Linked DNA regions of Schizosaccharomyces pombe. Changing the gene in region 2 together with the main gene of any one other region gives a genetic interaction. Each region holds a gene or a part of one and is shown on either strand. Other genes may lie near its edges.

Region 1 (9,351 bases), on a different chromosome or scaffold from region 2:
CATATATAGAACCAATGGTACAGGCTACACATATTAAAATGGGTTGGGAAAGTAAAATAGAAATTGGCTTTTTCATACTCAATAAAATTAACAATTTTATAAGCAGTTGCTTACCTGTGAGACGCAACGCTACTGGTTCATTTTCTCCTATTTCGCCGTATTTTTCAAATTTCTTGCGATTGAGAACAGGGGGATATGTTTCCTTTAGTAATAAAAAGGCCCAAAATAAATTGAACCCTGATAAAATTAATAGAATCCAAAACTCCCATTGCCAACCAATTGAACTTTGGCTAATAAACCCAGAAATTATAGGCGCAATTCCTGGTCCAATCGAGAGAACGGTAAAATAAATCACCATATATTTTCCTCGATCTTTTTTTTCAAACAGATCAGCCAGTGAGCCAGATCCATTTGATAAACCAACGGATCCGAAAAGTCCAGAAAAAAAACGAAATACTAAAAACATTGCCAAATTTACTGACAGAGCAATGGGAATCTGAAGAAGTGCAAATACGCTATAACCAATTAAATATATAGGTCTTCTTCCAAACTGTTCACTAAGTGGAGCAAATATTAAATTTCCAAATAATATCCCTAATGTATAAAGTGTGGCTCCTAGAGTGACCAAGGTTCGCGAAGCATGAAATTGCTCTGCAATATTGGAAATACTTGGCGCAAAGACACTATCACCGTATTGATTCAAAAAAGTCATTGATGAAATAACAATGACATTTCGTACCTTTAAACGAATAGGCCATGTTTTAGGGTTATATTTGTCTGGACAGTTTGTCTCTAGAGGGGTTGATGGCACGTGTTTTATGGAACTTGAATCGCATTTTTTTAAAATTGACTCTTCTTTCATATAAAACACAGAAATTTGTTTGAAAAAAAAAATGAAAATCTTCTAGCGATTATTCAAGTAATTACGTAGATTGATTAAGCAATACTAAAGGTCGTTTCCACTATAGTATTCCTATACAACAAAAAATCACCAAAAGTTATTTGAAAGTAGTAGGCTTGAGGTTCTAAATTAAAAGCAATTTTCTTTTTTGGTTACTTTTGTATGGTCCGGTTAAAATATAAAATTAATGCACAAAATACTTAACTTATGTATATAATCTCAGTTACGCGGAAAATACATGCAATAAGTTTTCCGCGGTGCACGCTTCACCGCGGAGCATTCTAAGTAAGCACGATAGCAAGTTATAAATTACAGGCATGGAAAGTATACTCAATTTATTTTAATAGACTTTTTTCCAAGTTCTTTTATACAATTCTGCTATTTTGTCCTATAGATCGCCTCAACGAACACTCACTACAGAAGAATTCTTTAGACTTGCACGATCCCATCCATCATGGATCCATCCTGCTGATTCAGCAAATGACCACCTCACACCTGCTTTCTTTGGCATTTATATTCGATCCATAACTTTCTAACCATTAATATAATGCTGAATTCATGAATGTTAACAATCGATTTCTAATAAGAATAGCCAATCTATCAAAGTTAAAAGCTCTGGTCAGTTTAATGGATTTTCGCTAGTGCATCATAGCCTTGATATTTCTAAGGTTTCCATTGGTTGTAAGTTTCTTTCAACTCTTCGTAAAGAACAGTTGTTAGCTAGCTAATTGAGTGTCTGAATTTTTTTTTGTTAATGGGTTCTTAAAATTGATGTATATGTCCATTCATCTTTATATATTTTATGTACATGAACTATTTACAACGCATTTTGGCAAACCATGTGTAAACATTTATTTTTCTAGTTAGGGGAAGATGAAGCAGGACTTTTCTTCTTTAATGTCTTCAATCTTCCAATAGTTTATAAAGAAAGCTTTTTGACATTGTTTCTTTTTAAAGCGAGGGAATACCTTTTATGGCCCTGCCACCGTCTATAACGTGATTTGTTTGTTTCGCTAAACGCTCTTAGGAAAACGGAGCTATCAGAGTGACATATATGACTTAACGAAGCTGTGTATGGCTCATGATCACTATTTAGAATTGAATGAAAACAACCAATGTCAATCACAGTGTCGAAATGCCCCTTGAATTCATTTAATCTTGAAAAATCGCGTTGATTAAAGTTGACATTACTTTTTTCACTAGATGTTTTATCGATTGCTTTAGAAATAGCCCTTTCGGAAATATCAATACCCACGACTTTATATCCAAGACTGGCTAAATATCTAGCATTTCTATTTGGTTCACAACCGGCATCTAATACATTCTCATGTAATTTCCCCAGTTGTACAAGATTCATGATCTATTCGTCTGGTTTCTCATTATCAAATGGTGTTGCGGGATCTTCATACATATTTTCCCAACTATTTTTTACTTCAGAGATATATTTCTTCATTGTTCTTAATGATATATAAAAAATGGTGAAATATTTATTTATTGCCCCATCATGTTTATTTTTATATCCTTCTTTCTCTGTCAGGAAATCTATTTCCGAGCTGACGATAAAAAAACATGTTGCAAGTCGCCGAAACTACCTCGGCTTTTATTACTATGTCCGAAAAGTGCGCGAAATATTGGAATGGCTTGTAAATTATGCATTTAGCCAAATAAAGTGATAGTAAGCGCAAAGTGTATGACTCAATGAAAATCGGGTGTATCAACTACTCAGTTGTTTACCATACAATGTATTGTAAATTATGGGTAGTGTCGTCGCTATTACATTTAAAAAATATATTATATTGAAGGTATCTAATAAGAAGTAAATGTTTTTCTGTGTAATAATAGTGAATTCTTCTCATCAAAAATATAAACGAACTGATTTTTCGTCACCTTATTAGGTTATACAAAGTCATAACAATGCAAAACCAAAGCGGATAGCATATCAAACTAAGAATATGACTTGCTATTAAAAATTAGTTTCGCTTGAGTTTTATTTTAAGAGTAGTAATAGTCAGAATTTATTGTGCTGATACACTTCAACTTACTTGATTAATAATTGAAAAAGAGAAATTTACAATTGAAATTGAAATGGATGGATTTGAAACAAACCATTCGTCAACATCACCGCTACTTTAAAAATGCTACTGTACTTGCGAGTATAACTACACAAAAGTACATATTTAAGCGATTGCATCAAGTAATGTCATATATAGAAATACAATAATATAAACGGAGCACAAACTGAACCTCGTTCTTGATATATCAAGTCCTCTTTATTGTACCATAATGTTGTATGTCGTTGTGCTATATTTTTTTGTAAGTTACAATCATACTGATTGGCATAGCTTCTGCTTTTAACATAACGGCGATCAAGCCATATTTGATCAGGTTAGGCAGAATTCCAATGATTGCATTAGAAGGTTTAGATCTTCAAGTCAATTTTACGATTACAAGCAAAGGAGAAATAGCAATCAAGCCAGTATCGAATACTCATTACACGTATATAGCAAGATACTATGGAATTGTTATCGTGATATGAATCTTGATGGTGGATTATTATAGCCCTGGTGCAGATCACTAATATCGGTTTTCGAGTAAGAATGATTCTTGCTTTCTGACCTAGTGACTTTCTCAATAGAGAAAAGTATAATGACTTGAAATTTAGAAAACGTTCTAATGGAGTTAATGGAGTGAGTTCTAATGAAACGAGGAAAAAATTTGTTATGATATACTACGACGCATCCAAATGTAAAGGATCGGAATTTAGATGAAACCGATGGTACTTCCGAGTAAATGTACCAACAATATAATAAATAAATCAGCAATTTTACTGCTAGACAATATTTCACTGTGAGGCTTAGTCTTGGTATAAATAGAGGGACTCTGTCAAAACAAATATTTTGAACTAGACTCGAATTCTTCATAATTCTATTCACTTGAGTGTTTATTTTTTTTAACAATGCCATTACATTTACGAGATATGTGGATATCCACTGACGATTATAAGGATGTTTTACTTACGTGTCCTGTGTGGTATGAAATTAGTGAAAGAGAATTAAATCATGCTGTTTGGGGACAATATTAAAATGGTGAAGTTATAATGAAACAGTTGTTGGAAGCGATTAGTTTCAAAAATTAGCGACTCGTATTTTGTTTATTATTATTATTATTTTTTCTTTTTTTTTTATTCGCTGTTTTAAAATTGTTTCCAGCAATCTTCTTCCTGTTCTCTTTTTATCCGTTTGACAACACATTTTGCTAATGCTTTTTTTTTTTTTTAGTTCAAAGAAGACTGGTACGAGAAATAAACAAGTTCAGTAGTTTCGAAAGCAATTGGCTCTTTCTTTTGTTTTTAGTCCGAGTATGTCGTCAGTTGAAAACCGTAACGGTTCTCATTGTGCCTGTTCTTCCGGTTTATACGAATAAGGTAAGAACATTCAAGAAAGCGTTTGATATGAAGTCTGTTCCATTATTGCTCTTAGTGCCTGACAAACGTTGTTAGTCTGTTTTGAGTTTACAAGTTTGTTAAGCTAATAGCCATTCATTGATCTTCATTGTTACATGCTTTCCATGGAATAGTTGGAGGTGTTTACTTTTCAACTTGTTAGCGATCGCTTGCTAACATTTTTAATAATAGGTACTTTGTTGTTCTCAGTGTGACTGGCACGAACCAGCAAATGTTTACTCGATTGAACAAAGGCGTAGTCATGATGATGATCTTCCTACCATTAAGGGTTCTGATGCTAGTACTCAACAGTATGAAAGAAAAACTTATATTACCGATGCTAGTCCCGAATCTCAGAATCTGTTTTTAAGCAAAAGTAAAGAGGAGGGAGTTATCTTCTTATGCATACAAGTAAGCTTTTAACCTTGATTCTATTTATTCACTTTTACCATTTACTACTTTCGCAAATTCCTGTTTTTTGTTGGGGATATGAAGGGGAATATAAGGGTAAAGTAGATGAAATGGATGTATTTGAAAGTTGATTTGGATTCGATTTATTACTTTGAATCCCCGTTTATTATTATACGTTTATGTCGTTTTAAAGAAAACCATGCGATGTACTATATTAATTTTGTAAAATATATATTATAGATAAAAAAATTGTTGGGAAAATGGGAAAGCAAGTTGAAAATAATTAAATTCAATAAATTAGCAAAATATGTTTATGAAGGTAACCAGTTTTTTCTTTTTATTTTTTTTTTGTCTATATGTCAGATTCGCAACTTTTAAGTTTGAACAAAACATTATTTCACATCGACTCAAAGGTTATGTGTATTTAAAACGTTCCAGTAAAAAAATATTCATTTGTAAAAAATAAATAGGTGGTATATTAAATAAGAATGAACTTACTACACAATTTCTGTGTAAAAAAGTGAGATTAAAATAACTGGATATTAATCCATTGATAAACAAATAATAAATAAAATAATCCCGGTAACCCCTTTAAAGGTGAATCAAGTAAACCATGGTTTTTGTCAAATCATTTTCTCTTGAGCCTCTTCAGCTACATTTCGATTGTAGGCAAGTGCTTCATTATGGGTGGGAAACATTATGTAACATGGAAAAGCAATTTTCTCCATAAAAGTGAAAAGATCACCAATGATCACCGACAGTCTGTAATCAAAGTTTCCAAATATAATATTCGACAGGTAATGCAACATTGGAGATGCACAGAATATAAAGATAAATGCATTTAGCATTCTTCTAAAAAATCTGGCTTTTGAAGCATTTTCGTAAGTTGTTACAGACGTGCATTGTTTCAATAAATGACAAATAGAATACACCCAAATTGCAGGAGATACCTCATACTGGATCATGTCAAAAATCTCTGATACTACATATACGTCTTTATATAAAGAAATCCAGTATACAGAACATAAAGCAATGACAATACTAATTCCTTTTATCATAAGATATTTAGGAACAGTTCTAGTTATGCCGAAACCCAATGCACAGTAAATCACAAATAATCGATAAAAATTTGTCCGAAGAAAATCAATTATTTCATACACCGAATAAAATTGTCTGTATTTTATACATTCGGAAGAAAAAACATACTCCTCAATGCATTCTTGTAGAGTCTGATTTAACGCAAAAAGAAAAATATAAAGGCAGATTACCTTTTGAGCAGGAAATATAATCTTGCTGAAATGTAAACAAGTCCATATCCAATAGCTCAAAAATAATAGTACTCCTCCCATTTCAGCTACAGAAATATAGTTCCAAATGCCAATTTCGTCATTATTAATTTGATCTTCTGAAACCGAATACCCCATAAGGTCTAAATTAAATTCAGCTCCATCCATTGTCATTGGTCTCGCAGCTACGCAGTAAGAACCCGTTTCATTAATCAAAATAGTTTTCCATATACTTGTAATATTTTCGCCCGTCCATACCGATTCCGAGTTACCAGAATATGCAAATGATCCCATCTCTCGGTTTTGGGAATTAAATTCCTCAAAAAAAGATTTTTGGATCACCGTGTCTCTTGATTTTACAAAGTCAATCATCTCCTCAACTTGATCATTCCAGCCAATTATATTTTGCCATTCATTTGCTTCAAAAAAAGACAAAGCAATTTCTCTTTTATCGAAGCTTTGTGCAAAAAAATTAGCATGTATTCTGGCACCGTTAGATTCCTCCACAATGAACCAACTGCACTTAAGAGTGAGCTTTTTGGCTTCTTTAGGCAGTCCATTATGGTTTGACAAGGTAGAGTTTTCCTTTTATGTAGTAATAGATACTGCTTTGGCGTCTACTTCACCTTTAACTAGAGTATGGAGAACTAGGTTGCATAACAGCAATGCTAGTGTTTTATGAAGACGCATCTTTAAAAAAGTTGGTAAATGATGCTTGCTCAAGGGAAAAGCAGATCAGGAATGATTAGCCTTTTATATCTTTCGTTTTGGAGTTACCGTGCTCCACGTTGCATAACGTTAGCGTTAAAACATTGGGAAGATTGGAGGGAAAAGAACACAAATAAATGGTTTGTTCACGCATCATACCTTTACTTCAAGATTTAAATTGTACAAGCACAAGTTACTGAATATAATAAAAAATCTGTTAAGTATGGAACGTGAAAGATAAAGTCATTCACCGTTGACTAGTTCTATTCCGTTAGTACTCGTACTTCATTCGATGATTGAGTTAATAACGCCGTTGGTAATATCCCGAGAATACAGAAGCTTTTTAAAAGAAAAATATAGCAAAAAAAAAAAAAACTGGTAATGACCAGTGGATAAAGAGATAGCATTCGTTTTTTTTTGAATTTAGCAATTATTAATTTAAAGCATAGATTGAAATTCAGCATGTACACTACCAATCTTTTTTTTTTTTTTTTAATTTCAATAGTTTGTTTTTACGATTGCGAGCAAGCGCCAGAACAGATTATAACGTAGAAAATTCAATTCGTCTAACTTATGTCCTGCAATATTTTCGCTTAGCAAGCATACACCACACCACCGTCCAACCATTATCGACCTAAAATAAATTCTGTCATTCAAGGTTGATCACTCCTTTTAGGCAAGATAGATAATAAGACGATTTGTTATAAAACTTTCTTTCTCAAATTTTTCTGGTCTGTCAACCATTTAAAAGTAGTCCAAAGATTTAGAATCTTTTACTGTTTATTCAAATAAAGCTGTTTAGTATTTTGTAATTTGAAAATTAGAACGATATCTATAATCACTAAGCGAATAATCACTAAACGAATTATATTTCAAACAAAGCCTTAAATTAACTCGAAGCATTTTCGTCATAAAAAATTGAAACCAAATTGTTTCTACTAACAGATAATGAATAAAACTCCTTTCCTGTAGTGAATATGACGCTGAATTTTGGGTTAAAGTAGATGAAATGGAGTTTTTGAAACACAAGTGGGAGTCCAAATTGGTTCAATTCGAAATTTTTTATTTAATATAATATATTTTAAGCTTTTAAAAAAAAAATATATAAAAAAGTCATTTTTAGTATTTGAATAATTATGAAACGAAAGATAAAAACATTAGTTACATTAAGTGATAATATCTTAATTAAAACCATAATTTGGTTTGGTTCCATAATTGAAATTCATAACGAACGCACCTTATGTGCATGATTTGGACAGGACAGTCAATTCGAACATTGTTAAGAATAGTTATATTCTATATGATCATGAAAACGATAAAGAAAATTATTTTTTCACAGGAGTAGGCATATTTTGTAGTTCTATTTGTTCAATATCAGAACCAACTGTTGTTTCTGAATGTAATGCTGTTTCTCCGTTATGTGTAGGAAGAGTGTTAGAAACACAGACGTCTCCTGGTGTCACAATTTTAAAGCCTAAAGACAATATTACAAGTTTGTAAAGAGCCCAATGACCAAAATACAAAAGGCCAGTTATAGTTGCACCCAGGGCTGCTATAATCATTCCCAAGACTGCTATAATCATACCCAAGACTGCTATAATCACACCGGTCACCCGTAAAGCAAGTACCGCAAACTCTGCAAAGACTATTTTAAATTATTAGCAAAAAAAAAGAAAAAAAGCATCACTATAAAGGAAACATACAAATTAAACTAAGTAACATTAAAACAAGCAAACAAACGTAAATAGCAATAGGCACCCAAATTTCACTGTAGAACCGATTTTCATTTATCCAAATTGAAAGAAACTTTTGGACTTCGAACTTTTTGTCTACTGCGAATACAATGATAATAGACCAAATAATAAGCAAGGGCCAACGAAAATTACTGCGGGTAGAAATCCTTCCATCAGGATAATAGCTATTGTGGAATTTAGAAAATTCAGTAAAAAGGTCATTTAAAAACTCTTTTATTTTATTTGTTTTAATATTCATCTTGTCTTTTTGAGGCTTAATGGTGTTGGTAAAGAGGGATTGTCGGGATTGTCGAGATCGTTGAGATTGTTTGTTTACCTTTTCAGGCTTACACAAATCAAGTCCCTGCTCTAGGTCCACATTACAAACATCTTCCACCATAAATAACTCATTGTAACCAGGAGGTTCAACCTGTTTTTTCAAGCTTTCTGGATTTGACATTGGAATAGAACGACAGCACTGTAATTTGATGACTTCTGATTCACTAGTATTTTTCCCCAAAGTAAAATTAAAAAGAGTGGTTTATGGAAAATAAAAAAGAAAATATACTAAAATATTTTAAGCCATAAACGAGAAAATTAAAAAAAAAAAACCAAAATGGTGAATGTTTTACGTTCTGAGGTGTCTCATTTATTTAGGAAAAGCATTATGATGTTGGCATCTCGTAATCCTTACAACTTTTTTCTTTTCACAATTTAACAGCTACGCAGTTTGGTATCTGTTTAACGATACGTTTAAGTACGATGTGTTTTCCTTGTGACCTAGTATATTACAGTACACAGTAATACAAGTAGCATCTGCTATTGATATTTTTATATATGAATTAAATTGTTACCTAATCACTAAAGTAG
Region 2 (10,034 bases):
TAGCGAACAAGGCAACGAAAATAATAAGCGAACCCCTAGTCATTTGATAAATGCTGGCACTAGTATAAAGAAGGCCAACATTCATCAATGTTGAACCACATATATCCATGATTGCTGGAAGAGCCATGAAAACTTTGTGCTTTAAAGGTAGGTGGTCAAGAGATTCGTAGCCAGGACCTTGTGAGTGGCGTTTATACAACACATAAAACCATAAACATGCTTCCCCAAGAAAAATGTTGAGGCTTTGAAGAACTGCCATACTCTTGATGGGTTCACTTTCTTCTGCTATACTGTCTTGATATCTATTTGAGATGATTTGTTAGCAAACAATACTATTGGATAAATAAAATAGCTACTGACTTCGACAAGACGGTGTTAGCTACACCGGAAGTAAGCATAATAATTGGCAAAAGCATTTTGTAAATGTCGAGAGTATCAAATGCCCGTCAAATATGGGCAAGGAAAAGTGATGAGTTGTATGTGCAGTATAATATCATAAAATATCCGTTTAAGATGTTCAGAAATTTACAATATATTGTAAAAGCAAGATGAATGAGATGTACGCTAATATGTATGCGTTAGCGCTTAGAGTATAACAATTGCAGCTGTAATCTATCACTTGTCGGTTAGCGAAACTTTAGTTAATGCATTACGTAAATCGTTAAGTTTGGTTCCTAGAACATAATGAATTCATCAGGGAGATCCAGCTTCGCGAGTATAAATGATAACAAACAAAATAGTTTTGTCTTTTCTATAATACTTCTTTTAGAGTATAATTAAATTATAATCTCAATTTTAATTTATTCAAAGTATATTACAATCATCCTTCATTGTCTTGGTCAATCAACTGAAAGAAATAATTTCCTGAAAATTGTAAATCCAGTATAAAGCAGCTTATATAGCCTTCTCGTTTATAAGATGAAAATTATGAAAAGTGTTTCAATGATGATGCTACCTATATAATCAATACTACTTTACTGAAGTTGCATTTAAACTTTCAAACATAGCTGAAAATAAAATGGTTAAAAACGCATACTTTAAAGCAAATTCATAACTTTTCTTTGGTTCATTAATAATTACAACTGTTAAGCATTGAAAAGATATCTACTGGAAAAGTCTTAAGAGACAGTTGTTTTTTTTAAACTCATTTATTTGATTAATTTATTTTAATTTTCAATCTTGAACTCATTTTCTAAAATTTTCTGGGTTTCTGACAACTTAATAAAAGGAAGTTGTAATTTTACAAATACCTCATTTCTAGTTTATAATTACAGTAAATGAGTGCAAAAGAGTTCATCAACACTTAAAAGAAATTTAATTAATATACTAATTTTTAAAAATATAAATTCAATTTTAACTTTTTGCAACTAAAGTCGATTTTTTAATATACTTCATTGCTTTCTTCACTATAAATAGAATCCAAAATTTGAAGATTACAAAATAGCTGTTAAAAACTTAACAAAGGCAATTATTACAAATACTGAATGTATAAAGCTTGGGCCCCAATTGCAATTACCTAATAATATGTATACGAAATATAGCACAATCCTAAAAGTTCAATTTCAGTATATAAGATTTCATTTAAACTATAAATCCTCCTGTCATAAAACTAAATTTATTTTGAGTAAACACCTTTTATCATTAGCACTGACACTGGTTTTACTGTGATATGGTGGTGTAAGCTATATCCTTACCCAACTTACGATCAACGTCTCTAAATTAACTCATAAGGTTAATTTAAATGACACATTTAGGAATCCTTGAATATAAATTTGAAATTTTCAAAAAGGAATTCTTTAAGAAACCTAAGTTCTGTTAATTACCAAGCCATGGATAATGTTCAGGAACACGATCCTGATACTCAAGAGCATAATAATGAAACTCAGAACCATAAGCAAGAGGACCATTCTAATTCCTACCAGACAAGAACTATTCCTTTCATAGAACCCCTTTCAAGGGAATACCAGAAACGAATTATTCTATGTCAAACAGGTAATCCTTATAAAGACTTGTAACGTTTTAAACATAATTGCAAGCTTTTATTCCGCAAATTCTAAGTTGCTTACTTTGTATTCAGTTAATGGCCCGTGTCCTATAATTGCTTTGTCCAATGCATTAATATTAAAGTCAAACGTAGATCGACCATTTGAATTGCCGAAGAAAAGATACATCACACCCGATGAACTGACAGAATACTTGGTGGAGTTTGCTAAAGCATACGGCTTATGCAAAAATCAGCAAAGTCTTCAGGATAAACTGACATCTATGCATTTCGGTCAGCAATTGAATCCTTGTCTCTATGATATTGAAAAGTTTGAGTATGGGCATGAAATCTTTTGTACATTTGGAGTTCGATTAGTTCATGGTTGGATTCTTTCAGATGATATGGGTTTGAGCGACGAAGATTTAAGCTACCTTCGAAAGCTTGAATATTATGAAAAAGTTGCAGATACATTTGCCGAACGTCGTTCTCTATTAGAGATGCAGGAGCCACTAACTGAACAGCAGCAAGATTTTTTAAATAATTGTAAGTTTTTACTTATCTGTCGTGCATACTTTCTTCAGTTTACTGCTTGAGAGACTTTAGCCTTATAATTTGCTATATGTTTTTTACAAACTAACACTTCAAATAGCTACATGTGTTGACAAAGTTATGGAAAATCGTTATACAATGCAATTTTTGACGAATGCTGGTCTTAAAAAGATTCTTGAGCTTGTAGGTCCAGGGGAAATAGTCGTGGTTTTTCGTTCCAGTCATTTCAGTACCATGTATTCAAATCCAGATTCATTCGCACAATTTACTTTGGTCACAGATAGTGGATACGCAAGGACAGGTGAAGATGTTGTGTGGGAAACCTTTGACTCGCAAACAGTTGAGACAGGCAATGGTGAACTTTGTGCAGCTAACTTCATTCCTGCTGTTTATGTTTTGAATCAAAGAAAGGAGGAGAAAAAAAAACGCGCTAAAGATGATGAACAATATGCCAAGAGACTAGCGAAAGAAGAAGAAGAAAGAGGAAAAAAGGAGACTCCTAAAAAGGCTTCCAACACTCCTCGTCGTAACAAATCCAATACCCAGAAATCACGTAAGCAAAGCGAAAACTGTTTAATTTCGTGATGAAACATGATACTTAGAGGATCTGTCTTTTATATTTTTATTTTTTGTATTCGCTCTAGTGAAAGCGTATGCATTTACTACATTTATTCCATAGTTTCTTTTACGTCAACAATTATTAATTAATATTGAAATCTCCTAAACTTTTTTGAAAGATTGAAAAGTAAACAAGCATTACATATATCCGTAAGACTAAAGATACTATTGCTACCAAAAAGAATTTTCTTCACCTTGTTAAATGCTCATGGTTCGTAAATAAGTAAGCCTCGACCATACGGTAGAACCCAACCGGTACCATTCATTGCTTTTACCCAAGACCCATCTCGACATAAATATTTACCATCGTCAACTCGCATTTCCTTGAATGGTAACGAACAGTCGGTTTTCCAAAAACGTAAAACATAATCATCACCAGCACTGCTAAAAATGCTTCCATTCTCATTTTTCATCAAAGCTAAATTTCTTTCAAGCAAATTAGAATGACCCATATAAGACATAATTGACTGGGGTCTTTTTTTACTTTGCAGAAATCGGCAATCATACAAAGAAATTTTAGATTCCAAACCACTAACCAAAAGCTTCGGTTGGGAAAAATCTAAGTTTTGCATTGAACAAATGCTAGATCCATGATAGAATCGCTGTACACATTCTTTCTTCGTCCGAAGATCATACACTAATACACTTTTATTTCGACATCCAGCAATGACTAAGTTGTCACCCAAATATTTAAGACTGAATACGTCTCCTTTAGATTGCAAACTTTGCGTTAATTTTCCCTCTCGATTAATTATTGCAATTTTTGAGGTGCCACCAACTGCAAAGCCCATCTCTCCAATACTTTCTGCACATAAAGGGGTTTTCAAAAGTTTAAGAGATCCCCAACGGTAATTATTGGATTCACCCAATAGCTGGTTATAAGTAGATATATGAAATTGTCCCTCATTCTGCAGAGAAGGAGATGTAGACCAGAAAATTTGCATTGCGTTACATACCAAAGAAGAAATGGGATTATTAGAGAGGCCTATCCTTGACAAGGAAAAATCCTGAATTGAACCTTCTGAAGTATATTTTTCATTTGCAACTCCAGATTTGTCTTCAGGGGTAAGACAACACCCCAATATGTCGCCGTTTTTGGAAGTTAAAATTATGGTATTAACTTCGCGAAGCCAACCTATTTTTTGCAGCTCAGTCCCAACTGGAAGCTGCCGAAGATTTATTTTTTTTAGGTTTTTTGCACATAAATAATCTCTGTCATCATTACAAGAATAAGGATATTGTGAAAACTGTCTATCAAAAAGATAAGTTGAAAAGTTGAAAACGGGATTGCCTCCTTTTCCTTTGGTTCGTTCTTTACTGATATTATTAAAACGCTTCCCCCTTTTCAACCTCTCCTTAGTATAAATATTAGAGGACGGAGTAGACTGCCCCGAGCTAATTATTCGAAAGTAACGCTTTTTTTCAGAATTGTAATAATAACCGGGAATATGAAATGGTAGTCCGCTCATAACCCAGGGATTGATGGTAAGCAAAAGAAATTAAAAACAAAAAAGGTTTTGTTAAAATGTTGTCGTTATACCATTTCTCTGTTGTATGTAGCCAAATACTTAGGTATTCAAAAGACAACACAACTATATAAATTAATAAAAAAAAGCACCAGTGTGCGGCAAACGGTATAATAAGGTAACACGATAAAATTCCTTATTTGTTAACTTATAGTTAATAGCTTAAATGCCCCCTATAAGGAAAAAATGCCGTAAAAGACAAAATTACTAGTGCTTGCAGCTAAGCTTATTGTCGCTCATAAGCTAGTTTCAGAGATTCCTCCATTTTCTATGTATTGAGAAAAATATCGACTTCTCTTAACAGTGCTTGGAGCGTCGTAATTAAAAATTCGTGCTTCGACTTCTGTATACTAGAGTTACCAATTAGCACAAATTCCCTCACGTTTTTAAGAACAATGCGCACAACGGAGGAGAACAGCTCAGGAGTTAATGTGCCGCTGTTGTTAAATACTGATAATGTCATAGTCCGAAGACGTGAAGTAGCTCGCGATAATAGTTGAAGACGAGAAAATGATAGCTGTTCCTCTTTTATGATTAACTTGGAAAGAACATGAATAAATGCTAAAAGATGAATTGAAGAACAATCATCTAGTGAATAATCAGGCACATCTTGTAATGACCGGAATGCTTCAATAGAGGGATCCTTCGTGAAGCAAATTAACGCCTCTTTATTCTTAGAAATGCGAACCAATTCCAAAACTTTTTTCGATACTGCAAATGACTCAGATTCTTCAAAATTAGAAGAGGATGTTGGACTTTGATCGCTAGTTTCTAATCGCTCAATCATTAAGAGTTTTTCAAGCTTTTGGTTAATGTTTCCTATGCGGTTTGAAAAATCGCACAACTGCCTATTACTGCTTCTATAAGTGGATGTTAAGTTTTCCAAGTCGTTTGCCAAAAATCCAGTTTCTAGGAATCCTACCTCAAGAAGAAAAGGTTTTGAATGTATCAATTTGAAAAGATCAGAAATTTCATCGGTTGCAGCTTCTGAAATAGTCTGCTCCAACAATTTCATGTAAGAGTTCTTAACAACCAATTCCACTCGACTATGCAAGCTTTCAAATTTTGCGTGGATTCTACTTTTCATGACTGAAGAGATATTTTCTCTAACCTCATTAGGATTTTGAGGAACGTATTGATTGAAGAATGGCATGGAGGGATAACAAACTGATCCCAAAGACTCTGTAAGATTTTGTGTTGTGGAATCATCCTTAGATTTTGCACAATTTTTTAAATCTTGACTCAAAGCCCTTAGCGTGTTATTAGACTTTAATCCCGAAGTTAATGATGCCCTAGCTAAAATTCGCTTGTCAGAATTAGGATATTCCAAAGAAGTGCCCTCGTCAAATTTGGAATCGCTTTCTATGCAGAACTGAAAATATCCAGAACTTAGTGCCAAAATTAGTTCAAGTTTGGAACTATCACAGCCAATTAAGGTGACAAAAACAATGCTATGATCCACCACCTCATTCGATATTACTTTATTAATATAACCAGAATCTCCAAAACGCTTGCCTTTGGAAACAGCAGAGATCAAAGCTGCAGTGTTAGATAATACACCCACATTGGATAAATCAGAAGGTGAATAAATAAAGATATCCAAAAGCTGATTCCTTTTTGCAACAATCATGTTTGAATTATTGAAAGTAAGTAATTGCTGAATAGGTGATTTCTCTTTTTCATTTGAAAACTCAATTTCTTGAGTAAAAGCACATAACCCAAAATCAAATAAACCTAATATAGTATTATTAGCATAGGAGACACAAATAACTTTATCAATGATATCATTATTGTTCGGTGGAGATGAAAGAAAAGAAATAGAATTTGCTGTACTCGGAAGCTGAAGGCTCATTGTCGCGATAGCCGCCCAGTTACCTCGGTGTGAAGGATTAGTAGAAAATAAATTAGAAACTGGAAATGAATAGAAAAAAATTTGAGAATTCACTAATATTGCAACAACAGAACGGTCAGAAGAGATGGTGTATGAGTTAATCGGCCCAGGTAAATCAACCTTGGCAGCTTGTAATCCATTAAAATCTTTTGCATAAACTTTAGGGCTAATATTATTGGAACGAATATTTGATATATCCACAATATATAAAGAATTCTTTACAATCATAGAAAACATATTTGAAGAATTAGGAATCCAATCACAAATACCATAATTGGCACGACGGATGGTAAACAAAAGTGAAACTGAAATTTCAGATCGCTTCTGTAAAATTTTCCAAACATACAGATTAGAGAGAGCGTCCATTACCAAAAGATGGGGCTTTGTATGCTTATTTTTGCCAAAATGTAGATTTTTAACATCAGATTGCGTATAAAGTATGAGCGATTGATCGGTATTGGCGTTCAGTACGCGAATATGGCAAGGATCCTGATCCACGTATGCAAAATATTCAGAAAATTTATCAATAACTTGTGAGTTAGCATAAAATGTACTATAAGGAAGATCACAAGATGCTATTTTATTGCAATCTTCTAAAAGCAAAGGAGATGCAACGAATGAAGCCGGAAAAGAAAAAACTCGACCCAAAGAGGGTTCAATACAGTAAACATCATGAGGCACATCAGGTGCGGGTGTTAAAATTTTCTTTTGCTCATCCTTCAATAGTTGAGTATGCATTTCAGAAGACGTTGAGGATTTGGTTGATGGAACTTCATCACCAGAATTTGGCTTCAATGAATTGACTGATTGTCCAGGAGAAAATTCTCGATAATCAGCGACAGTTCGAAATTCTTGATATTTAGTGGTTGACGATTTATTTTTCCCCTGGTCAACCCTTTCATGAAAGGCTTTATCATGCTGCGAACTGCTATTTGAAGACAAATCCTTTTCTTTCATTGAAGGAGGCTTCTCCGTATCTCTAGATTTGCCATTTTGTTGCAATGGACTTGTGGCTTCTAAAAACTCGAACGGGTTAAAATGATGAAAGAATGGCTTGCGAGTTTGTTCATAGGAACTGCTTTGGGGAATTTCATCACTAGATAAGTTTGAAAAATTATCTCGAACATCGAGAGAATCTTGATATAAATCTTTATTGTCTGAACGACTTACTAAGTCAAGTAGAATGCTATCATCAGGAGTTCCATGGTTCATTGAGGATTCCGATAATGCCGAAAAAAAAAGTTCATTACTTTCGTCAACGAACGATCCGAGATTTGTTTCATTAATTGATTTTTCTTTATAAAATGACATATTAACAACGATGGTTGTTTATGTAGTGCGCTTTGTTTGCACTCTACATGTACTGGGCTTTTGTTAGTGGGCAAGTTCGAATTTTCGCTAATATTAAAAATAAGGAGGAAGCAATTTAGGGAAATACATTCGTCAAACTTCATCTTAGAATTTAATACTCACATTTTTATTAAGTTTCTCAAAAGAATGTGAGAATGCAACTATTAATTATTTAAGAAACAGAAACATAAATAAAAGCATTCTCAAATTTTTAATAAAAAGCGAGCTTTAAATTTGACAAAATGACTCTAATATCAGTTTATTACTACGATAAAAAGGATGTATGATGGATATATCTAGGTATTTGCTCAATGCGGCCCATATACTTCATTAGGCTACTACATATTTCCAACCTTACAGTCTCACTACTACTATTGATTAAAAGTAATCAGCTAGCCACGTAAAAGAGAAGAAGTCATTTCAAAAAGAAGATGTCTCAACCCTATTTAATTTCTAAGTAAGATTGTAAGAAGACTCGGTTCATTATATTAACATGTTACTTAAACAGATGGATGGATCCTTTGTTTGGAATCTTCGTCGGTACTTATGGTTATTATTTGTATGAAAAAGAGCATCGTCCCCGAGGAAGAAGCTTACGAGAACTTGCATTGCGTAAATGGAATAAACAGGCAGTTTCACAACAATCCATGAAAAACTGAGGTCAGACATTCCGTAAAGGACTGTTCTAGGAGGCAAAGGGTGTCGAGCGAATGATGATTTTATATTTTTATTCATTGAATAACATTTCCTTTTGTACGTTTATACGCTACTAACAGTCTGTGACAATTTTTACTGCAATGTGATTTAATAAGTGTTTGTAAGAAATGAGTTTGTATAGTGAATTTGCACAAGGTGTATGCCAGATGGAAAATTGAAATATGAGAATGTACTGCATAATGAAATCCAAAGAACTCATGATATGCTCCGTTTAGCTTTTAACTGCGGTTTTTCCCCATCAACATAAATCCCCTTCCCTTTATACGGCTCGGGCTTTTTAAACGATCGAATTTTTGCTGCAAACTGTGTGACTTTTTGTCGATCAATTCCACGAAGTACCAAGCTGGTTGGCGTTGGATTCTCAACTTGTACATCAGTAGGGATAGAGACCAAAATGTCGTTTGCATAACCTATTTTTAAATGAATATTTCCATCGTTTAGAGAAGTCCGATACCCGATACCAACCAATTTGATAATAGATTGCCAGTACATAGTTACTCCCTTTACATTATTAGCTAGGATAGCCCTAGTAGTGCCCCACATTGCACGTTGCTTTTTAGTAGCTTGCTTTTCTATATTGGCATCCATTCCTACTTTTAGGATGTCATTAGTTTTCGAGAGATTGAGATAATTTGGAAATCTCATGTTAAGTGTTCCATGAGGTCCAGTAATCTGTAGTTGTTCCCCCTCCAAATCAAACTGGATATTTTTTGGAACAATGATTTCTTTTTTTCCAACGTATGATCTAGCAGCTGAACATGTCGTGAAGTTCATACCAAGACGAGCAATTCGAAAAGTTAAGGGCCTTGTTTTCAAGCAACTATCAATAGAAAACATAATTTTATAAATCAAAATAATTCAGTTTTCAAATATATTAGTAAAGGATGCTAGAAAAATTGACTTCGAAATTCGCTAATATCAAATTCTAATAAAAACACGTATTCTTTCTATTCGATTTTTTTTTTTGTGAGATAGCTTAAAATAAATTGTTCCTATTATTAGGGATTAAGACTGCCAAAAGTGTTTGCGGATTTTTAAAGTCAATGTTTGACGATGTGGATACTTAGTAGGTTCATCATGTAGGGTGGCAGCCATGTGGCACGTCAACCAAACTTGCGAAGAACCAACCTGTGGGATAAAAGCGAGAAAAGAAAAAAACCATGCCAAGCCAGGGAAACAATAAAAATAGTGAAAACATCACCCAAAACCCTATAGAGGGAGAACTCGGAAGCGTTATTGTGGAGCATTTAACCAAGCGCATTCGTAACTTTACGAAAAAGAAGGTAAGATCATTTATTAAATTGGGCGTTAAAACTTACTAAATCTGTAGCAAAAAATTCTAAAGCTTGAAGAAATAGCTGCTAGCGATTCCAATTCTCTCAATGATGATCAACGAAAA
Region 3 (13,081 bases), on a different chromosome or scaffold from region 2:
TTCGAATTTTATGCACTAAAAGCATACGGAAAGTCAACATGCATGCAATATGTTTGGTACTAAATAAAGTGCGCTACGGCGTGGGTAGTAAATAAAGTCAATAGCAGAGTTAATGCAATTTTGAGTCGTTATTGGATTGAGATAACAATTTTCGGCTTTTAAGGGTTTTCAGCTTCTTTTATTGTAAAATAAATTGTGATAGAGATTTTTGTATTCACATGTAGTCGCCAAAATTGCTAATGACTATGACAAAACTTTGCAATCGGTGCATGAAAAACACCGCTTTAAATCTACTGGTAAAATACATTACACAATATGTAATCATTGAGTATAATTGAAAAACATAATTTCCATCGAAAAAAAAATAATTGTATTTGCTGTTAAATGTATTCGTAATCAGAGATGGGATTGGGATTGAAGCTAAAAACATATGTTGGAACAAAACCTATTGATATCAGTTGAGAAAAGACACTAGTAATAAATCCCCAAACTTATAAACTTCGTTCTTTCGAAAAAGAGTGTACACTATGAAGGAATCACAACATAACCTGTTTACTTTCATGTACACAACTGTAAAATCAGCAGCCAACTAGAAATATTGCTAGCTTATTTTAAAGCGCGAACGAGGGATTCCAAAACACTGACTCGAACCGCCGCCTCGGCAGCAACCCCCTCATCAGAAGAATTCATCTCAGCTTTGTGCTTTTCAAGAAGTTGATTTGCGACAGAAGAAGAAAAGTCTTCAAGTTTATAAGCTTCAGGAACGGTGATAGAAAGTTCATTAGAAGGCTGTTGTACCGCAAATCCTCCAGAAATGAAATATTTTGATTTGTTGCTGGATTCATCAGTAACAGAAATAACTCCTGGCTTAAGACACTGAATCATGGGAACATGATCTTTAAGGATACCCATCTCGCCATCTTCCGCAGGGATGTCGACCTGAGTTACAGGAACCTTCTCATAGATGGTTTGGTATGGCAATGCCATGGAAAGTACTAATTTTTCATTTTTCTGAACAGCTTGGGCATAACCACGAATTCCAAAAGGAGCACGTACTAAACCTTGAGGAAATTGTGATTTTCTCAGCATGTAATTTGATAAACGAAACATAATGTTGTTGTTCGGAGTATTGAGTGGGTTAAGGGGGGTGTGATGCTGCTTCGCTGACTGTGGGAATAACTATGCGGAAAAGTGAATGCTGTCAAATAGTTCTACGAGTAGTATTTTAAAGAAATTACGATTAACAAATATATTCTATACTTTTTTAAAAGTAAAAAAATTCTTCAAGTTGTACAATAAATGATTAAGTGATGTGCCAACAGTTTAAGTTCATGAATTTTAAAGCAACTCGTAAAGTACAGGAAAGTGGATAACTTTCTTAATTCCATAAAGATGAATGATTACATTAGAAAAATAGGCTTCTTCTTTTCCTCAAAAGTAAGTCATTCTTTGTATTATTAAATAACAAGTTGTTTATATACTACAATGTAAATCCGCGAAAAAATCACCAAGTTGAATCTTCCGGATATATTTATTTATTGAATGCTTTGTACAATGGCTAAGTTACTTGGTAATAATCTTTTGATTTGAATATATAGACATGTAGATACAGTTTACAACATTTACCTGATTTTGTAAATATAAAGCAAATATAAACATGTTTCAGTTTATTGGACAACGAATTACAAAGCAAACATAGCATCTGCACGTGTAGATTCATTACGAAGCCATTTGCTGAAGTGGTAATCGTGAGTAAGAAAATAAGAGAAGACCAATTTAGATGTCTGAGTAAACATAGTATATTTTATGCAATTCAGTAAACAAGAATATCTGAAAGAACTAACATTTTCTGCAAACAAGTGTAAAATCAACTATTTTTTTGGCATACTGGCTTGCATATCGCTAAATATAGCGGACCCCGAACTAACATTTATCCGTCTTTCCTCCTTCCACCAACTAGTAGTCATTTTTCAAAACAAAGATCCCTGCTTCGACGCTGGTCGTTTTTAAATTCCTAGGGATCTCCTTTTATCATTTGTTTTTACTCATCAATTTGAAGATTCAGCGAGGCAGATTTGATTATAAGGAGTTAGTTTAGAGGGGGAACTTAGGTTCATTAGGATCAACTACTTTTTCAACTTTTATCTTCTTTTATCGACCATTTTTCATTTCAAAATCTATACTGCCTGATTTAGATGGAAGTGGTTGAAGGAAGACGGAAGACGTGCCTTGACGTTGTTGATTCTCCATCTTCACGTCAAAAACAAACTATAGCTGTCTCGTTGGTAGATGGTAAAAACTATCCTACGCGATTTTTAAATAGTAGGACCATAGATAAATTGAAGCAAGAATTAAACACTTCTAATCTGTCGACTGGAGAAATGTCTACTAACGAAACCTTAAAAAATGCTCAAGAAGTTGCCGGTAAGCTTCTATCCGAAGAGAATGAAGATTCAATATCGGAACATTTCGATGAGTATTTAGGAGCTGATAAGCCTGGTATATCCTTTTTGACTCGTCTGAAAACTCTTGAAAGCTGGTTTCAATCCTTAAGTCTCCAAGATCGACTGACGACCTTACGGACTCTTTTGCATCACCTTCCTTCTCAAGAAATATCTACACTTCTGTCGTCTAGCCTTACGTCCTCTCCTTCAAACTCTGGCTTATCTTTAGACAAATCTCTCCCTTCGTCCCCTAAAGGTGACTCACCTTCCCTTTCAAGTTCACTTCCTTCATTGACCACAAAATCCAACTTGTCTGGAAATTTGAACATGGTGACTCCCGCGTCCACCCAGGGACCTGCATTTTCTTCAAAGCATGGCTTTTCTAACGCTCTTTCTACGGCTTCGCCAATTCCTGTTCGTACATCTTCAGTATCATCTACTTACCTCACGCAGGATCGTGAGGCATCTTCCAAAAATTGCCTTTCTAAGGCTTTAGCATTTTCCTCCATTGAGCCGCCTGCCTCTTCTGCTTCTACGAGTCCTCGGAATACTCCTACCCCTTCTAATAATGGGACTTCAATTAATGCTAATGTAACATCTTCTTTAACCAGCAATTCCACCGGCAAAACATCCAAGACCACTGATCTTTTAATAGCTGCATCTAAAAAGTCTTTACCGTCAAATTCAACACCATCAAAACCTAATACATCTTTTTTTGAAACTCCTCATAATAATATTTGGGATTCTCGTGATAGAGGAGCTTTTTCAGCTCCTCCTGCTCCTTTTTTTCCACTTGGATTTTCACCACATTTGAATGATGAGTCTTCTCGTTCGAGATGGAGTAATATATCTTATTCTCCGCCTCCACCACCACCTCCTCCTGAATTATTAAACCATTCTCCAAAGTCTCGCCCTTTAGGCGATAAGCCTTATCTGTTTTACCGTAATAACCAAATCGGACCTCGAACTCGAACTGAAGGAAGATCTAGCATTACAGAAGGTAAACCGTTTTTATCATCTTCCCTTCGTTTTGAGCACGTACCTTCTGCTAATGACCTAAATTCTGTAGTCAATGCTCGTGTTGAGAAATCAACTGGGCAACCATCGACGCCGTTGAATCGTCAACATTATTTCAACGAACTTCCACATTCGACTACTCCGGTTACATTACCCTCGTTGATTCATGGTTCTGAAATTGATAGGAGACGAAGTGGTTTTTGCTTGAACAATTTCAATTCAACTCCTCCCTTTCAGCCCTATCATTACGAAATTGGTTCTGGTTTACCTCAACAGATGCATGCTACCAATACGATTTTAACGAATCCTATAGATCCTAATTCTAATATCTCGACACCCGTAGGAATGCACCTTTGCACCCTTCCTTACACTTATCAACCGTTTAGTTCAGTTGAAAAAATAGAGACTCCACCCAATAATTCAAAGAACCAAACATACCGTAGAAGCTCACGGGGATCTAATAAAACCAGAAAATCGATTTCACATTCTAAAAACACAGACAAGCATGTTGGTAATGAGCTTCCGCAAGATATTCCGAGCTGGCTCAGAAGTTTGCGCCTACACAAGTATACCAATAATTTAAAGGATACGGATTGGGATGCTTTGGTTTCGTTAAGTGATCTCGATTTGCAAAATCGAGGCATCATGGCACTGGGTGCTCGTCGTAAACTGTTGAAAAGTTTTCAGGAAGTTGCACCGCTAGTATCTTCAAAAAAAATGAATGAAAATTTAAAAGCGGCGAAAAACCAAAGTTCGGAGTCTTTAACGAGCTTCAAAGGTCATACTGACTCGGAGGATCTTCCAAGTGGGAGCATGTCTAACGAAATAAGCTCGAATTCAACTAAACAGGATGTTTCTAGTTCATCAATGGACTGAGAGTTTTTTATCATTAACTAATGACACTGAACTAGATATTTTTGTTTCACATCTAGTGACACTTATCTTTACGCTATATTTGACAATACTTTTTTCATTGCTTGAGGATTTCTGTTGTTTATTTTAAGCCAAAAGGTGGACTAATCAAATATTAAAAGCTTAAACCAATTTTACAAACTGTCTTTGACATCGCTTTTGTAATATAAACATATAAGTGAATTTTAGTGATTTGAAATTATATTATTATGAGCACTTAACGGGCACACCATATAAAAAGCTGATTTGTTTTCTAGCCTTCGGTAAAAATCATTGATTTGCTTAACAATCTTAAATCCATGAGCAGTATACCATTTAATAACTGATTCGTTTGTTGTTTGTACATGAAGAGAAATTCTGTCTATATTATTGTTTATGGCAGTTTTTTTGACGTGATCAATTAATAAGCTTCCAATTCCCAGACATCTGTAAGGGGCAAGAACACATAAGACTGTTACGTAAAGTGAATTATCTTCTGCAACAAGGCTGCTAATGGCTCCAACGAATTTGTCTTCGAATGTTGCAATGCGGGCGTAATCTGGATTTTTGAGAACTAGGCGGTAGAATTTGTCACTATAAGAAGCCTCTAAAACGACACGAACGAGGCGTTTGAAATGGACTATATTGGATTCAGTAATCTCTCTTATAAAATACTTTGAAATAATTGTATTTGAATTATCACCTAAACTAGGCATTTTTTGTTGAGCCGATGTATTTGGTTTTGCCAACGTATCTGCAAACCCTTGAAATGAAGCTTCACGATCTTTACGTTCCGAAACTTCTGTAGTTGCGGAATTATTACTTTCGAAACCACCAACCTTTTGCTTGACCGCCTCGTCATTCTTTGATTTTCTATTTTTCAAAAGCCGATCAAAATTTTTGTCAACAGAAAACAAACCTTTAGTATCTGCACCACACTGGATGCATGTCGGTGTTTTACGATATCTAGTTATGGCACACTGTTCACAAAAATGGTGACCACAAGTGGTAGCAATAGGACTTCGGTAATCCTTTTTACAAATTAAACAGACGAAAGGTATATCCTCTTTTTTCTCATTTTTTACCATCCCTTCTTCCAATTTAGCTCCTTTTTTGTATTTTTCCTGGACTGAATCCCATTCTCTATCAAGTTGCCATCCAGCTTTGTAATCCTCTCGCATATGCAAAAATTTACAAGTATCTCCATAACCGCAATACCCAGTGAGCTTATAATCTTTACAAACATCGGGTTGGTAGTCAATAATTGTATTCATACGGACAGTAGAAGCATTGGAAGATAAAACTGGCCCTACTTGGCTTTTTTTCTCAAAATCTTTCCTTTTAGGCAAAAATCTAGAGTAATCGTTTTGTGACTGGAATAACTCAGTAGGAAGAGTAGACTGATTAGCTAACTTCGGAGAAGGTCGACCTAAAATGACCTCTCTCGTATCTTCGTTGATAGCCGAAACAGTTGTAGTATTAACGGACTCACCAGTAGCGCTTAGATTTGACTGATATTCAACATTTATATCTTTCAAAGCAGAGTTCTCGAATTGCTCGGATTCTCTTTGCAATCGATTTAAGCGAACGGTTTTTTTTCTTCCCGAAACAATTGGAATATTGTCCCGCATATCTTCATTTGATGATTCACTGCTGCCTCCAGAGTCATCATCTCGTTTGAATCCTTTTTTACGCTTCAGTCCTTGTCTGGGGCGATGTCTCCGACGGCTTTGAAAAATTGGAACAGCTAATTCGGTATTGATTTTTGAACCTGAAGCCTGATTGATATTTAAATTTTTTTGTTCCATTGGATGTATGGCAAAGATAATTTAATGACCAAGACACTTGAAAAATCAAATTCAAGATAGAAACGTCGTCAATTCTTCTTTAATTGAGACCCTATTTAAATTCCAAGATAGAACCACTATAATAGTTTAAACAATTAATAGTCACTAAAACAGTTCCCAAACAAGTGCTTCAAAAATTCTGATATCTAGTAGAATCAATATTAGCGCTTGCTGTTTGCTCAAAATTGTGAAACGTGTGTCCCCTTAAATAAATAAAATAAAACAACAAAAATAGAAGAAGTTTGTAGTGAAATGCAAATATATAAATTTTAGAAAGCTGCTAAGCTAAATACGTGGCCACCGAATCTGGGCTTTAGTAATATTCAGGTAGATATATTTTTTAATAATATATAGGTATTTATATTTACTTTTTAAGATTATATAGTATAACGAGGCACAAAACAAACGTTGAGTTCTATTAAGAATGTATAGTTCTCTTTTTGTGACAGTAATCAGTCTTAATAATTTAATTACTATAGTAATGACTAATATTTTCAATCTAAACATATATATACAGCCTTCAATGTAATACGTGTTTGCACAGCGTTCCCTTTAATTTATTGCTTAGCGGTACTTCATAAACACATCTAGAGATTTTTTCATATTTATTTTTATTTTATTTTATGGAGATTATGAGAAAAGGCTGAGATATGGGGGTGTTATTTTCAATTTAAACGTATAGAGCATTGCCATTTACTAGAAATTGTTAACATGAAGAGGCCGTTGCTACGACGATCTAATTTACATTCTTGTTTAATTCATTATCATTTATCATCCAACTCTAATTATTTTGCAATCTGCAATATTGATGAACAAGCTACTAAGTACTGTTTCAACGGCTTATGAATTATATCACATCAAACAATCATGGTCTCAGACCTATAATGCAAATAGCGTATGCTTACAGAATTGAAATCGAATAAAGTTTAGTAGGAAATTATACAAACTCATAGCGTGTCTCAACTTTTATTATAATTCATTATGGTACAAAACTATTTTGAGTTAAGCAAAAGTTCAATGGATAAAATTCCAAACGTTAGGTTTTTAAAAACGACAAGAGTAAGACATCACATTTAACAATTTGCATTTTGAAGATGAACCATTAATCACTCTTAATCAGCCCTTGGTTGTTTACGAACACTATCTGATTCACTGTTCCTGTCTTTATAAAGTTCGCCATCATCAACCTCACGCAACCATGGTGCCAATATGACAGGTGATTCAGAACCTTTTTTATCCATCTTCACAACAAAGTCTTCGTTCCTCTTATTCAAGTGGTATGTTTTTTGCTTCCGGAGAGTGTAAGGTGAAGGTGACCTAGATTCATTAGACCTTTTTCTAGATACCTTTGGTGAATATTGACGGTTGTATGATAAAGAGTCATAAGATCTTTTATTCCTAGCAGGAGAGCGAGAAATAGGGCGTGCAGCGGAGACGGAGATCTAGAGTATGAAACTGAACATGACATACTCAACCTTCTTCTGTAGGAGGGTGAGCGAGAAAAGGACCTGCCTCTGCTTGTAGAACCAGCGTATGAACGTCTATAACGTTGGCGCGAGCGATACTTACGTGAAGCAGGTGAAGAAGAACGAGAACGATAACCCTTATCTTCAGATTCAATTAATCTTCCCTCCGGCGTGTAAGAGCGTGAGCGACCCCTTGACAATGATGATGACCTGGAAAGATCAGAATAAGAGTTACGGTTTGATGACCGTTCTCTCCCACGAGGAGATAATTCTCTATCTTTTCTAATGTATTTTTTATGATTTATATTATTGATAGGGGTTACACTGCGGGAGCGAGAATAAGAACGGCTTTTCGAGTATGACCGAGTTGACCGAGAATATGATCTCCCACGTGAGTATGTGGAAGAATAAGAGGAACTATATGTTGATCCTGTCTCGGATCCAGAGCTATAACCTTCGCTATCTTGCTCCTTTGGCTCGCTTTTGGGCATGGTAAGGAGGTACTCTCTCATTTCTTCAGTTAATGCACCCAAACCAATAGAAGTAAAGTAATTGATAGAGAAACGAACGTTACGAGCTTCATCGACTGGAAACAAGCCATGTAAGTAAGGCACTAAATTAGGATCGTGTAATCTTTCTACCAAGCTCTTAAGACCTAAAGCTTCCACTATTTCCTGAAACATTATTTTTAAAAATATTCGAGAAGAAGCTGTGGTATCGTCTTCGGTAAGACGTACACAGTCATATACTTCCCAACCAATTGAGTCAGTACTCAAGAGGTTGGCAAAAAATAATGCGATATTCCTCAATCTATTAGTTTCGTATCGATGTATAGTTTCGTAGTAGTTTTTAAAACATTGCTCATACGTAGATCGCCAAGTCCGCGATAGTTTGCAAAATCGCTCACCTATTAAACCGTAAAATTTCGCATATGTGCGTTCTTGACTGTTACACTCAATAACCATATTGCAGAGTTCAATTTCCTGACCCTCGGGAAGATCAATTTTTAGTAATTTATGACAACATTCCTCAAAATCTACAGAAGACATAATTGTTAAGTAGATAGACTTCCGTAAATTGACAAGACTAGCATTTGTTTGATCTATAACCTGAGGTTTTTCATCATTCACCGATTCGTCCTCTTCAGATTCACTCGTTTCTTCACTATCTTCTTCATCTTCTTCGTTTTCGTCGTCATCCTCTTCACCCAATATTTCATGTTTTATAGCATCGTATTTTTTCTCATTCTCTTCGTAGTCGGGATCATAGTGAAAAATACCCAATGACTCTTGGACATCAAGGTTATCATCTAAACTGATATAATGCGTAATTTGGTCTTCTTCCTCAACAAGATCCAACTCTTGGGGAATTGTGGGGTTATTTTTAAACTTGTCCTTACGTGTTTGGAACAAAACTTCAATAATAAATTGCGTACGGCGTTCCAACTGGCCTTCATGTAAAATAGTACGAAATCTTTCAAACACACCATTATAAGCCCTAGTGGAAACTTCAGCTAGGTAGGCTCCAATTTCTCGTAGAAGCATAACGGCTATTTCTATAGAATCATTGGTAGGTCTCTCCAAAAGAACAGCAAGAATCTGTAAGCCCACAATTTCGTGTGCTATTTTTTGATTAATAAGATGTGCGATAAATGAAGAAGATGAGATACACATGGATTTGTCATTCCTTTGAAATGACTTTCGGAATTGTACAATCAAACGAGTTAATAGTAATTCACCTATTTGCGGAAATTTTGTATTTATAACCGCTGTCATAGCAGCATAGATTGGGGTGAAAGGTAACGAGGCAGCCTGAGCTTTCATAATGCTGCGGCAATATAAAGCACGACCTCTAATTATATTTTCTTGAAAGAGCTCTGGAATTATATCTCTAATATTGCTTTTATTAACCTTATTAATTAATCCGTTGATGGACTTTTTAAGGGCTTCCCATTGCATCCTTTGATACTCGGGAGTATTTACATCAGTTAATTGTGCTTGTAAAGCCTTAAGTTTTGCCGGAGGGATATAAGTCCCTCCTGATCTGGTTTCCATGAGCTTTTTAATCTGAGCTTTGGGATCCAACTCATTGTGGGATTTTTTCTCATCAGCAAGAGAAGTTGGCGTTTTGATTTTATTTGACTTATGGAGGTCTGGTATGTAATGCCTATCTTCCCAGCTCAAGTTATTATTTTCCTGTTCAGTTTTCTGTTTTCGAATAACTGCCACTCTGCTATGGCCAGAAGACTCTGGGTTTTCCCTATTGTAATCCAACATTCCAATACCAAATGATTTATCTTCTTTCTCCATCCTAATTCATTAGGATTAGATTAATAAATATAAGAAGAACGAAACACGTGAACGTGTTTCCCTTAAAGACACAGTAAGTAGTTTTTAGAGTCAACTCTTTTTCTTACGAATATCACAAACATCGCAACAACTCGTTAAAACACGTTAAAATAACTTTATCTAGTACGTAGTTTGCAGTTCGGATTACAGGTATTTCCAATGTTTTATATATATGATGAGTTGTATTTTAGCGCAAAAGATAACTAGACATCAAAACCTTTATTAAAGAGCATTTTTAAATTTGCAGAGAAAAAAAAGCTGTAATGAATTTATCTCTTTTTTCTTAATCGATGGGAACCGTTCGTTGTTGAACAAGAATCATTTATGCTTTGCTGTCAAGTGATTATATGCCGCATTTAAGTCAAAGACGAATGGTTTTAGTCAATAGAATTTGTTTGAAAAACTATAAATGCTTGTATTTTTTCAATCTTTTATATTGTTATTATTATGGATATGTAAATAACATTAAAGTAAACCTGGATTACCTAAATTAAAGAACTTGTAAGCAGGTGCAGATGAAGATGCCCAATGCCAATGTTTTTGGTGAGAGTATACAGGCTTAATCGTATTTTTAAGTACGTTTCTGCTTGTCAACTAAAAGGTTTTTACTGATTCCATAGTTGGTGGACACACGATAGTTACGAAGAGCAAATGCAAGCCAACGGTATTCGATTTTAGATACTTGATTCCGGTCATTGGTACTTTGCTAATTCTACTTTCCAACTTAATTTCGTATTCTACATGTTTTCGTGCGGTAATTCGCAACGCAATCATTCATTTGAATGAGGTATTTATAGAGATTAACTTAAGAAAATCTAAGGTATAATTAAAGAATGAACTATGCAGTCTCAGCAAGTTTTGCAAGGGATTCAACGTAGTAATCAGGAACAACAGGTGCATCCTTCTCAAGAATCTCTTCTTCCTTACTGACACCAGTCAATACTAACAAAGAACCCCCAAGGTTGGAATTCTTGGCAAATTGAATATCTGTGTTGAGTCGATCTCCCACAAAGCAAGCCTTCTTTCTATCAAAATTCACATTAGCTATGATGGCTTCCATCATCTCATCATAAGGCTTTCCAAGGATTTTAGGTTGACGTCCAGTTGAAAAGATTAACGGATATGAAATTGCTCCAGAACCGGGTAAAAACTTTCCGTTTGTAGGAAAAGTGGAATCTTGGTTCGTCAAAAGGAATGCGCAGTTAGGGTCTTGAAGGTATTGGAAAGCCATGCAATATTTCAAATAGGTGACATGCATATCCATACCACATAACACAGCACCTACAGAAGGATCAGGACCAATCTTCTCAACATCTTCAGAAGCTAATGCACGTCTCAACGACGGGTCCGTTCCACCAATATGAGCAACCCCTACTCTATCAAGCTCATCTTCGATACCTGCTTCTCCAAGTACAAAAACTTTCTTATCGGCAGGAAGCTTTAGCACTTTCTTTACATAAGTAGCTGATGAATAAGCACTAGGGTAGATTTCCTCAAGTTTGGCTGCAATACCGTGTTCATTGATTTTATTCATATATGTTTCTCTTGATTTCGTAGAATTGTTTGAGACAAAAATAATTTGTTTTCCTGTAAAAGAGTTAACTCAAAAGAATAAAAGGGACTTACCTAAAGAACGAAGGAGCTTCATGGTATCCGTAACTCCTGGTATAGGCTTACTGCCGCTCCAAAGTACACCTGCGTGTTAGCCTACAAATAGATTTCATATTTTTGCTAGCGCTTACCATCACAGTCGAACAAAAAAACATCGAATTTATCAATGAATTCTTTATATTCCTTGGGTGATGAAAGTTTTTTAGCCATTCTTAAAGTTGGTTAAAGTGGTAAGGTGGTAGGCGTTCGACATATCCGTTATATTTATAATCTTCGGTTAGATGTTCCTTTCTGATAGTGATGATCGACTTCATATTAAGCTTAAAACTTACATCTTCTTTACTTTACGAAACCTTATTGCGTATAATTGTATTTTAAAAAAATATGAATAAATTTACAAATATCAAAGTTATCGTTAAAATAATATATCTCTTTTTTTCACAAAATTTGCGGGCCATAATGTACATGATATTTAGGAAGAGCTTAATGCTAGACAATAGTTTCTTCGAGTAAAACTTAAGTTTTGTATAATAGTATTTTTGGTTTTAAAATTGAATAAAAGCGGGGACTGTTCGCCGTCCGATAAGTTATTCCGGTATGTCAAATCCCAAAAGTTAACATCAGTATCTGCACCTCCGGAAACCAGAATTTTGTTATCATATGAAAAAGAAAGAGAATAAACGATACTAGAGTGTTTAACGAATGAAACGTGCTGATTACTACTTCTGAGATCCCACACTTTTATTATGCCCGATTCATCAGCAGATGCCAACGATAAGCCATCAGCAGACATACACAATGCAGAAACAGGAGAATGATGGGCATTAAACACGCGAACTGTTCCACCAGTGCGAACGTCCCACATTCTAGTTGTATGATCACTAGATCCTGTAGCAAGATAAGCTGCATTCGGATGAAATGAAACACACTAAATCAAGGTTAGTTACTGCTCATAAGAATTGTTAGTTAAATAAAGTTCCTTACATCCACATCATTTTGATGTCCAACAAATACTCTCAAAGGTGCTGCATGCTCAACATCCCATAGACGTGCTGTTTGGTCGTGCGAGGCTGTTGCAAAATAATAGCCGAAAGGGGAAAACTGAACGTCCCAAATCGGCGCATTATGACCAGCATATTTGACAATAGTGGACTTAGTATCCTTGGACCACAAACGAGTAAAGCCATCCTCAGAGCATGACAGTATAAACTCTTTTTGAGGAGAGATGCTCACTCCAAAAACTGGTCTCGTATGTCCAATTAAAGAGGACTTTTGTAAAGGCTCATTTTGACTTCCCACTAATGGTTGCGGACCATTGTTAGTAGAACTGTACAAATGAATTGAAGAGTCTGCGCAACCCAGAGCGAACATAGAGGCGTCATCAGAGAATGCAGCACAATTTACAGCGGAAAGTGTATTGTGCATGGTATACATGAAAACACTAGGATCCGTAGCAT

The links.
Region 1: mutations in wdr21 (region 2) and SPOM_SPBPB2B2.18 together harm fitness more than expected from each alone (negative genetic interaction), as found in Schizosaccharomyces pombe (one large-scale study listed by BioGRID).
Region 3: mutations in wdr21 (region 2) and vts1 together harm fitness less than expected from each alone (positive genetic interaction), as found in Schizosaccharomyces pombe (one large-scale study listed by BioGRID).

What each region holds. Positions count from the first base shown.
Region 1 is NC_003423.3:4,498,533-4,507,883, forward strand, and holds SPOM_SPBPB2B2.18 (uncharacterized protein), read left to right. Parts: upstream 1-4,159; coding exon 4,160-4,193; intron 4,194-4,254; coding exon 4,255-4,325; intron 4,326-4,535; coding exon 4,536-4,754; intron 4,755-4,994; coding exon 4,995-5,132; downstream 5,133-9,351. Other genes in the region: SPOM_SPBPB2B2.16C (MFS family membrane transporter), read right to left, coding at 1-862; ftm7 (transmembrane helix domain-containing protein), read right to left, coding at 3,424-3,864; SPOM_SPBPB2B2.19C (transmembrane helix domain-containing protein), read right to left, coding at 5,378-6,412; SPOM_SPBCPT2R1.01C (uncharacterized protein), read right to left, coding at 8,074-8,393, 8,452-8,941.
Region 2 is NC_003424.3:324,865-334,898, forward strand, and holds wdr21 (WD-repeat family protein wdr21), read right to left. Parts: upstream 4,722-10,034; 5' UTR 4,621-4,721; coding exon 3,358-4,620; 3' UTR 3,332-3,357; downstream 1-3,331. Other genes in the region: gms2 (NST UDP-galactose transporter), read right to left, coding at 1-302, 361-416; cysteine-type deubiquitinase Miy1, read left to right, coding at 1,830-1,992, 2,078-2,527, 2,634-3,118; protein eti1, read right to left, coding at 4,946-7,879; nce101 (non-classical export protein 1), read left to right, coding at 8,350-8,375, 8,427-8,577; mrpl6 (mitochondrial 54S ribosomal protein uL6m), read right to left, coding at 8,831-9,472; cpn1 (caprin), read left to right, coding at 9,796-9,918, 9,966-10,034.
Region 3 is NC_003423.3:3,034,881-3,047,961, reverse strand, and holds vts1 (RNA hairpin-binding protein), read left to right. Parts: upstream 1-1,951; 5' UTR 1,952-2,195; coding exon 2,196-4,337; 3' UTR 4,338-4,558; coding exon of another isoform or gene 4,559-6,160; 3' UTR 6,161-6,322; downstream 6,323-13,081. Other genes in the region: F1-ATPase delta subunit atp16, read right to left, coding at 607-1,110; zf-C3HC4 domain-containing and GCN5-like protein cwf24, read right to left, coding at 4,559-6,160; pho2 (4-phosphoerythronate phosphatase/2-phosphoglycolate phophatase, involved in detoxification of glycolytic by-products), read right to left, coding at 10,852-11,600, 11,640-11,708, 11,756-11,834; taf51 (transcription initiation factor TFIID subunit taf73), read right to left, coding at 12,097-12,552, 12,609-13,081.